Callithrix jacchus: one gene and its partner. The protein of the gene in region 1 binds, or shares a complex with, the protein of each later gene. Links are inferred from orthologs where the notes say so. Each region holds a gene or a part of one and is shown on either strand. Other genes may lie near its edges.

Region 1 (3,779 bases):
GTATGGTAGAAGCTGTGGCAGCTGCCGCCTTGGAAAAGACAAAGCCAGGAGCAGAGGCAGAAGCCTGAAGCCAGGACTGAACAAAGTGCATGGGCAGCAGAATGAGGCCACAGATTACTGGGGGAAGAAAGCCATGAACCCAAGTGTGGAGAAAGGAGGACACTCCCAGTACCTGGTGGGACAACCTGGGTTCTGGCCTCAAGGGGCTCCTTCAGAGAGATGTGGGTGACCTGGCAGGTGTAAGTGGCACCTGCAGACCCAGGTTCTGCGGTGAGAGAGGAAGAGATGCTGTAGGTGCCTGCTGCGCTTTGCCTGAGGCTGGAGAAGGAAGCGCCAGAGACTTGGACTGGGGATCCACCCAGTTCCTCTCTGGTCCACGTCACCGCCACATCCAGAGGATAATAGCCAGCAATGTTGCAGACGAGGGTGGGCAGCAGAGCTTCATTTGCCAAGCTTAGTCGTACTTTGGGGGGAGCTGGAGAAAGAATGAGGAATAAGATTACACAGGGATCCAGCTGGGGACAGTGGAGGAACCTGAAGCCTTTTCTTCCTGCCAAGATGAGAGTAGATTGTGGATGCTAAAGTGTCCCTTGGTAGTATACCAAGGCGGAGGCATGTGAGGGGCCCACATGGATGCAGGCCATAATTTGCGGGTTGCATTTTCCAGAAAAGTGATAGTAAAGTCATCTAAAGGTTGGCTGGCACCATTCTAAGCCAGCAATTTTAAAGGATAGCAGTGATGATGGTTAGAACTGTTCCCACTGCCCCGCCTTGGTTTGCTGCTACTGTTCTTCAGGATGTGGCCCAAAAGGACTGAGCTGTTGGAGACAGCCGGCCACAGCAGGGCAGCAGCATCCTGGCCTGGAAATCTTGGTGGAATTATCCTGGAGTCCAATGGACTCTTTTTTTTTTTTTTTTTTTTTTTTTGAGACGGAGTCTCGCTCTGTTGCCAGGCTGGAGTGCAGTGGTAGAATCTCAGCTCACTGCAACCTCTGCCTCCTGGATTCAAGAGATTCTCCTGCCTCGGCCTCCTGACTAACTGGGACTACAGGCACCCACCACCATGCCTGCTTAATTTTTCTATTTTTAGTAGGGAGTGGGTTTCACCATGTTGGCCAGGTTGGTCTTGAACTCCTGACCTCAGATGATCTGCCCACCTCAGCTTCCTAAAGTGCTGGGATTACAGGCATGAGCCACTATGCCCAGCTGGGACTCCTTATCTAATGCCATCTGTGTTTCCAGGGTGAAGATGGCATTTAAATTGTGGGAATGACGCCTGCTTCTCAGGGAATCACTCTTGCGTTTGGGTCCCAGTCTGGAAACACTCCAGTAGGCATTTTCTGTCCCCCTCCCTGGGATAACTGTGTCCTGGCCTCACCTTGGATGTTGAGCTGGATGATCTGCTGAGCTCTGTGCAGAGAGGTGGTGATCTGACAAACATAGGTCCCCTCATCCTGTAGAGTGAGGCTGGGCAATGTGAGGGAGGCATCCCCAGCCATGCCCATCTGTTCAGGCTTCAGGGTAGCGCCCTTCCGCCCAGCCTGCCCCTGCCCTGCGGTCCAGCTGTACACCATCTGACCCTTGCCCTTGTGCTGCAGCCGCCACTCCACATTGATGAGGTCCAAGCCTGGTGCCATGGAGAAGCCACAGTCCAAGGAGGCTGAGGATCCCAGCAGGAAGCTCAGGGATTGGGTCTGTGTCGTCACCTGGAACTCCACTGTCAAGAGGAAAAGAGGGGTGATTTGTGGGCTACTTCCTCCTTGAGGTCACATGATCTTTAAGCTGTGGGCGTGTTATGGGCCTTGCCTCTTCCTCCTTGCCTGGCAGTGAGGCCAGTTGAGCTTATTTTCCATCACATGGAACCACAAAGAAATGGGGTTCTAGAAAGGCAGCATGGTACACATGGCGACCTTTATCATCTTGGGATCACTCACCCCTAGGATAATCTAGTGAAAGCTATGGACCTCTCACCAGGAAATACACATGCAAAATTAAGAGTTACCGTCAATCTTCAGGTAAGAACTACTAGAATAGCCGAAAGAGCTCTGAAACCCTGGTTGTTCTGCTTACTGGCTCTGTGACCTTTGACAAGTCACTTAGTGTTACAAAGCTCACCTGTTTAAGCAAGGATACCATGAAGACTAGGAAAGAGACTTTAAAAAGCACTTAGTAGTAGTGACTGTGCCAAACATGCTTAACCTAAATCCAGTCAGGAGGAAAACAATCAGACAAATCTAAATGGTGGGATATTCTGCAAGACCACTAGCCTGGACCCTTCAAAGATGTCAATTCTGTGAAAAATGCTCTAGATTAAAACAAGGAACAGCACAGCTAAATGCAGCGCATGATTCTTGTTTCAATTGTGTACTTAGAAAAAGAAAGCAGTGAAAAACATTATTGGGACAAGTGGAGAAATTTGAATTTGGAGACATTTAATTAATTTTTTTTTAAGAGACAGGGTCTCAGTCCAGGCACAGTGGCTCACATCTGTAATCCCAGCACTTTGGGAGGCCAAGATGGGCAGATCACTTGAGATCAGGAGTTCAAGACCAGCCTGGCCAATATGGTAAAATCCCATCTCAACTAAAAATACACAATTAACCAGGTATGCCAAGTGCAGTGATGCATGCCTGTAATCCCAGCACTTTGGGAGGCCAATGTGGGTAGATCACAAGGTCAAGAGATCAAGATTATCCTGGTCAACATGGTGAAACCCCATCTCCACTAAAAATACAAAAATTAGCTGGGTGTGTTAGCCTGCAGCTGTAGTCCCAGCTACTTGGGAGGCTGAGGCAGGAGAATCACTTGAACCCGGGAGGTGGAGGTTTCAGTGAGCCAAGATCTCGCCACTGCACTCCAGCCTGATGAAAGAGCAAGACTCCATTAAAAAAAAAAAATTAGCTGGATGTGGTGGTGGGTGCCTGTAATCCCAGCTACTTGGGAGACTGAGGCACAAGAGACAGGGTCTCCCTATGTTCCCAGGCAGGACTTAGACTCCTGGGCTCAAGCAGTCCTCCTGCCTCAGCCTCCTGAGCAGCTGGGACTACAGGTGTGCACCACCATGCCCTGGACTTCATAGTTGAGGCTACTACTGTATCAATTTAAAAATATCTTCAAGTATGAAGAGCAGTGGCATACTAGGCAGTGGTGTGGAGAGATAGGGACAGTCTGCCCTGGCAGGGAGGAGTATTTTATCACTGATACTGTTCAGAATTGCTGATGTTGGGAGATGGTGACACTATAAAGCCATTTGACTTTCAGCTGATTTTATTATTCTGAATTTTTTTTTTTTTTTGAGATGGAGTCTCTGTTGTTACCCAGGCTGGAGTACAATGGTGAGATCTCGGCTCACCGCAGCCTCCGCCTCCCAGGGTCCAGCAATTCTCCTGCCTCAGCCTCCCATGTAGCTGAGATTACAGGTGCACGCCACCATGCCTGGCTAATTTTTGTATTTTTAGTAGAGAGGGGGTTTCACCATGTTGGCCAGGCTGGTCCTGAGCTCCTGACTTCAGGTGATCCACCCGCCTCAGCCTCCCAAAGTGCTGGGATTACAGGCGTGAGCCATTACACCTGGCCTGTTCTGAAATATTTTACACACTGCGCCTCCTTACTGCCTGCACCATGGGTAAACTACTCCCCCACTTCGGTTTGTTTCTGACACGGTGGTTTGTGACCATGAAGGATTACATCCTTGTCCTTGACTGTAAACTAATACATGCTATGCATGGGAGCATTTGGGGTTCACGTGTTGTCTTTTGCAGCTTGCTCTCAGTTCAGAG
Region 2 (3,852 bases), on another chromosome or scaffold:
CAATTTGGGATTCTACCATGGTCAAGTAGTAGGGAGTCAAACCTAGGTCCCTGAACCCAGCTCAAGCCTGCCTGCCTCATGGCTCTGCCTCCATTTACGTCTCTGCTTCATGCCTACTGCCTGTTTCCTGTCTGGACCTGTTCCCCAGCTCCCTGGACAAGCTTCAGCTGCTGTTCTCCAGCTTGTCATGTGCTCCTGATGACAGTGTAGATACAGCTGGATCCTGCGGATTACTGCTTGAGCAAGCTGAGTGCTGCTCCTCAGAATCTTCTCTTAGGCCTTTCTCTTGCCTTCCTTCATTCAATAAGCATTTTGAGCTTATTGTGCTGGGTGCTAGAATAGCAGGGAAGACAGACCTAAGCTGTAGATTACAGGAAAATCTGACTGACACCTGCTATCTCAGAAGCAGAGACTACAGCATCACAGGGAGCCAGAGCAGGGAGTTCCAAGCCCTGGGAACTGTGTGACTCCTATTGACCCTTAAGCAAAAATCTAAGCTCCAGGGAACAGAGGCAGCAACTTGAGCTCCCTGGTTGACCAGATATGATTAATCATTGTTTCTCTGTGTTTTGAACATGACTGTGCTCCATAAATATTTTAAAGTTGGGAAGAGGGTGAAGACAGATACACCAAAAGAAGTAAACAGTGTCTGAAACCAGCAAAGGGTTAAAAGTTACCAAGAGAGTGCTCAGAGCTTTCGTCTTTTTTTTACCTAGCAACTGGTGTCACTGCATATTTTCCCCTGTACTTATTGGAAGAAGGCCTTGTGTGTCACTCAGTTGCTAAATCACTCAAGGGGTTCACGGAAGGGACCTGTCAGTTTTTGGTTAAAAGAACCCAGAAAGAGAAGGACTACAGGGTTCTCAACTGATGGTGTTCCTGTTACCTCTCATCGTTGTATTAATGGCGAAGCAGAGTGATGCCCGTGAGTACCCCACATTCTCTTCTCCCGTAACTCCAAAGTCGAGGCAGCCTAGAAGGAACAGCTTTTCTTCCTAAAACTTGTGGTGGAAAATATAGAAGCCAGGGGCAAAAAAGTGTATGTATTACATCAAGACTCCAGGAGCAAGGGACGACCTGAACAGTTTTCCAGTTCCTATTTGTAGGACTTTGATGTCACCCCCTTCTGAGGCAGTGGGAGCCATTCCAGAGACTAGACTCCGGAACTTCCTCACTTTCCCTCTGAGTGTGGTCCCCCTTATTTTCTGCTCATACTTTTTCTTTTACTTTTGTTTCTCCTCTTCTCTAACCTCCAGAGTCTCATGAGGACGTCGTCAGAGTTTCAGGGGCATTAACAGTGGAGCAGATCCATTGTTGAGGTTTATTTAGTTTTCTCAACACAAGCCCTACCTGTAACAAAAGATCCAGGAAAGATAAAACCATGGCTCTGGGCTTGTTTACTGGCTGTGAGAAGTGTTAATCAAGTAGAAGGGAGAGTGTTTCATTGCTTTAGGAGCTCATGTCACTGGGGAAGCAAATGCCTTCTGTTGCCTCTAATAGGTGGAAGGGCCCCTGGGCTAGAACCGCCAGGCTTCTCTGCTCTAGGCACCTGCTCTCTGGGCTGAGGACTGGTAGTGTGTCTAGAATGTAGGCTTGGCCACCACCATAGATATTACTGATGGACATGAGAGGAAGGAGCTCTTTCAAATCATCCATGCATGTAGAGAGTGGAAGGAGTGAGAATGGAGATTCAGAAGGGTGGAGGGGTGGATGATGAGAAATTACTTAATGGGTACAATGTGTGTTACTTGGATGATACTTTAAGACCCCAAATTGACCATTACGCAATCTATGCATATAACAAAATTGCAGCTTACATCATACATTTATACAAATAAAAATTTAAGAATCATCCATGTATTAATTGTTCAAATATTGATTGCTGGGCTACTATGTGCCAGGCACTTTGGGGGATATGGCAGTGAACAAATAGGCATAATCTCTGCTTCCATGAAAATTTAATCCAGAAAGTCTCATCATCTATGGGAAGGATTGGGGTGAGGGTGAGAGGCAGAAGATGAAAGAGGAACAGTGGAGGGAGGTAAAGCGTGATATTTTTAGAAGTAAAAATCTTATATATTGCCTGCATGTGATTCTCAACTCTCCAATAATATGGAATAATATTCCTTAAACATATTATCCCCTTGACAATCTCACTGACTGTGGTAGGTGAGGGAAATATCTCCATTTAAAGATGAGCCCTGGATTTTTCTCTAGGCCTAGAGAGTGACCAGGCTCACATAAGGAGCAGCCTGAAGGAGACTGGAGGTCTTCTGGCTCTCTGTCCTGGGCTGTTTCACAATGTCACTGTGCCTCTGGGTGTCAAGACTTGTCACTTTGATAATTGGGGGGATAGGAAATAAAACAAGTAAGTTACAAAGACAAGGGAAGGTCACTTGGTGCTGGCTGTTCTCCTTTTGGCTCCTCAGACTGCATCCTTCTCTGTTCTGTTTTGTGTCCTTGAGGCTGACTGCTAGACTGCATCACCTAGACTCTCTTGCAAGCTGATTTCTGCTTGGGTTCCCACAGTGGGAGACACTGAAGAGAGAGAGGTCAGAGAGCAGGGAGGAAAGAGAGGCTGGGAAATGTCTTTCTTGCACCTTCCCCTCTTTCTATAATGTCTCTGGCAGTAGCTGTGTGCTTCCGTGCGGTTTTCTTTCCTGAGTAACCCCTTCTTCATGGTTCCAGCTCCCATTGGGCTTCAGTAATACTATTTGCTATTCTTATCTCTTAAGCCCTAGGAGTGATAATGGCTTCCCATAGTTGTTAGCCTGCTGGTGCCCATCATTTTTGTGTGTTCCCTTAACATTGACCATATCTCTGCAAGGAGTCCTCATTAAGGTCTCCTCATGTGACCATCTGGGCTGAAGGCTGTTTCCTGCTAGGACCCTAACTGAACATTCCTGGGCTTTGAGGGACATTGGCAGGGAAAGGATATGAGATTATAAAAAAATACTTGGTGTACTTGATATTTATGCCTAGTACTAGCCCTGAATGGCTGCTATATAATTAATAGATGGAGAAACACAGAGAGGAGATTCTGCAGTGTTGTGGGTCATTACTCCAGGAAATGTCAACGTAACTCCAATATCACTTCCAATGTGTTGCTTTCATTGACTCCATAGCCTGCAGTTGACTCCCCCTTCCTTTGTGCTCCCATAGCTCCTGTTCTCAGTTCTATAATTTTCCATTTACAGAAATCTTCCCTTTGAGGCACTCCTTAAAGACAGAAAGAGATGTCTTCATTTTTTCTTATTTCTCTGGCACTACCTAGTGCCCAACAGGCACTAGTAAATACTTCCTGGGTGAATTTATGTTTGGAGGTAATGTCCCTAAGAAATCACAGTTATTTGACTGGGAGCCACAGAGAGCCTGGGCAGTAATAATGATTACAAATGCAAAAGTGTGGCTTACTGTAGCTGCAGGATTTGTGTTAAAAAGGTGTTTCAGGCTTTTACAACTCATCTTGTTCTTCATTTCAGCCTGTGTGAAACTGAATTGGTGATATGGGTAGGTGTCGTCAGTCTGGGGGCCAGCATGAGATTTCTCATGCATAGCCATGTGTGGTTTGTGTGTTTCATCTTGACATAATCAAGGTCAGTCTCTTGATATTACTCATACTTTTATGAGTCTGTCTCAATTTGCTATATCAATCTACTTCATGAATGGTGGAGTCCTTCACAGACGAGGCCTGATGATAGATAGGCTCCCTAAGCCTATTTTAACACCTGGGCTAGTGTTAAAAAAACATACATGCATATTATCTGCTTAGAAAGTGACCTTGAGTTCAAAGAGTTAACATGAGAAAATATGGGCGTTTTCTAAAGACTTTATTAGACTTCAGTCTGTTTC

Evidence for each region.
Region 2: the proteins of TAPBPL (region 1) and MR1 are in contact, whole or in part, in an NMR structure (PDB 7RNO), measured with the Homo sapiens proteins. The link is inferred for Callithrix jacchus from reciprocal best matches to the Homo sapiens genes TAPBPL and MR1. Residues at the interface, in NP_060479.3 of Homo sapiens: His47, Arg48, Gly49, Ala50, Ala52, Ser53, Ser54, Leu129, Met131, Thr132, Glu133, Thr135, Arg228, Gln230, Lys232, Gly233, Arg234, Gly235, Thr280, Ile282, Gln293, Ile295, Gln297, Arg307, Leu308, Ser309, Ile320, Cys321, Asp322, Leu355; in NP_001372090.1 of Homo sapiens: Arg101, Arg104, His105, Asn107, Thr129, Gly130, Phe131, Leu132, Gln133, Ile143, Phe144, Asn145, Asp147, Thr148, Leu152, Ala153, Val154, His159, Thr160, Lys162, Gln163, Ala164, Ala167, Asn168, Gln169, His170, Thr213, Phe214, Pro215, Asp248.

What each region holds. Positions count from the first base shown.
Region 1 is NC_133510.1:20,075,677-20,079,455, reverse strand, and holds part of TAPBPL (tapasin-related protein), read right to left. Parts: intron 1,718-3,779; coding exon 1,379-1,717; intron 476-1,378; coding exon 173-475; intron 1-172. UniProt on the Homo sapiens protein: Component of the antigen processing and presentation pathway, which binds to MHC class I coupled with beta2-microglobulin/B2M. Association between TAPBPR and MHC class I occurs in the absence of a functional peptide-loading complex (PLC).
Region 2 is NC_133519.1:39,321,743-39,325,594, forward strand, and holds the start of MR1 (major histocompatibility complex class I-related protein 1), read left to right. Parts: upstream 1-777; 5' UTR 778-870; coding exon 871-925; intron 926-3,852. UniProt on the Homo sapiens protein: Antigen-presenting molecule specialized in displaying microbial pyrimidine-based metabolites to alpha-beta T cell receptors (TCR) on innate-type mucosal-associated invariant T (MAIT) cells.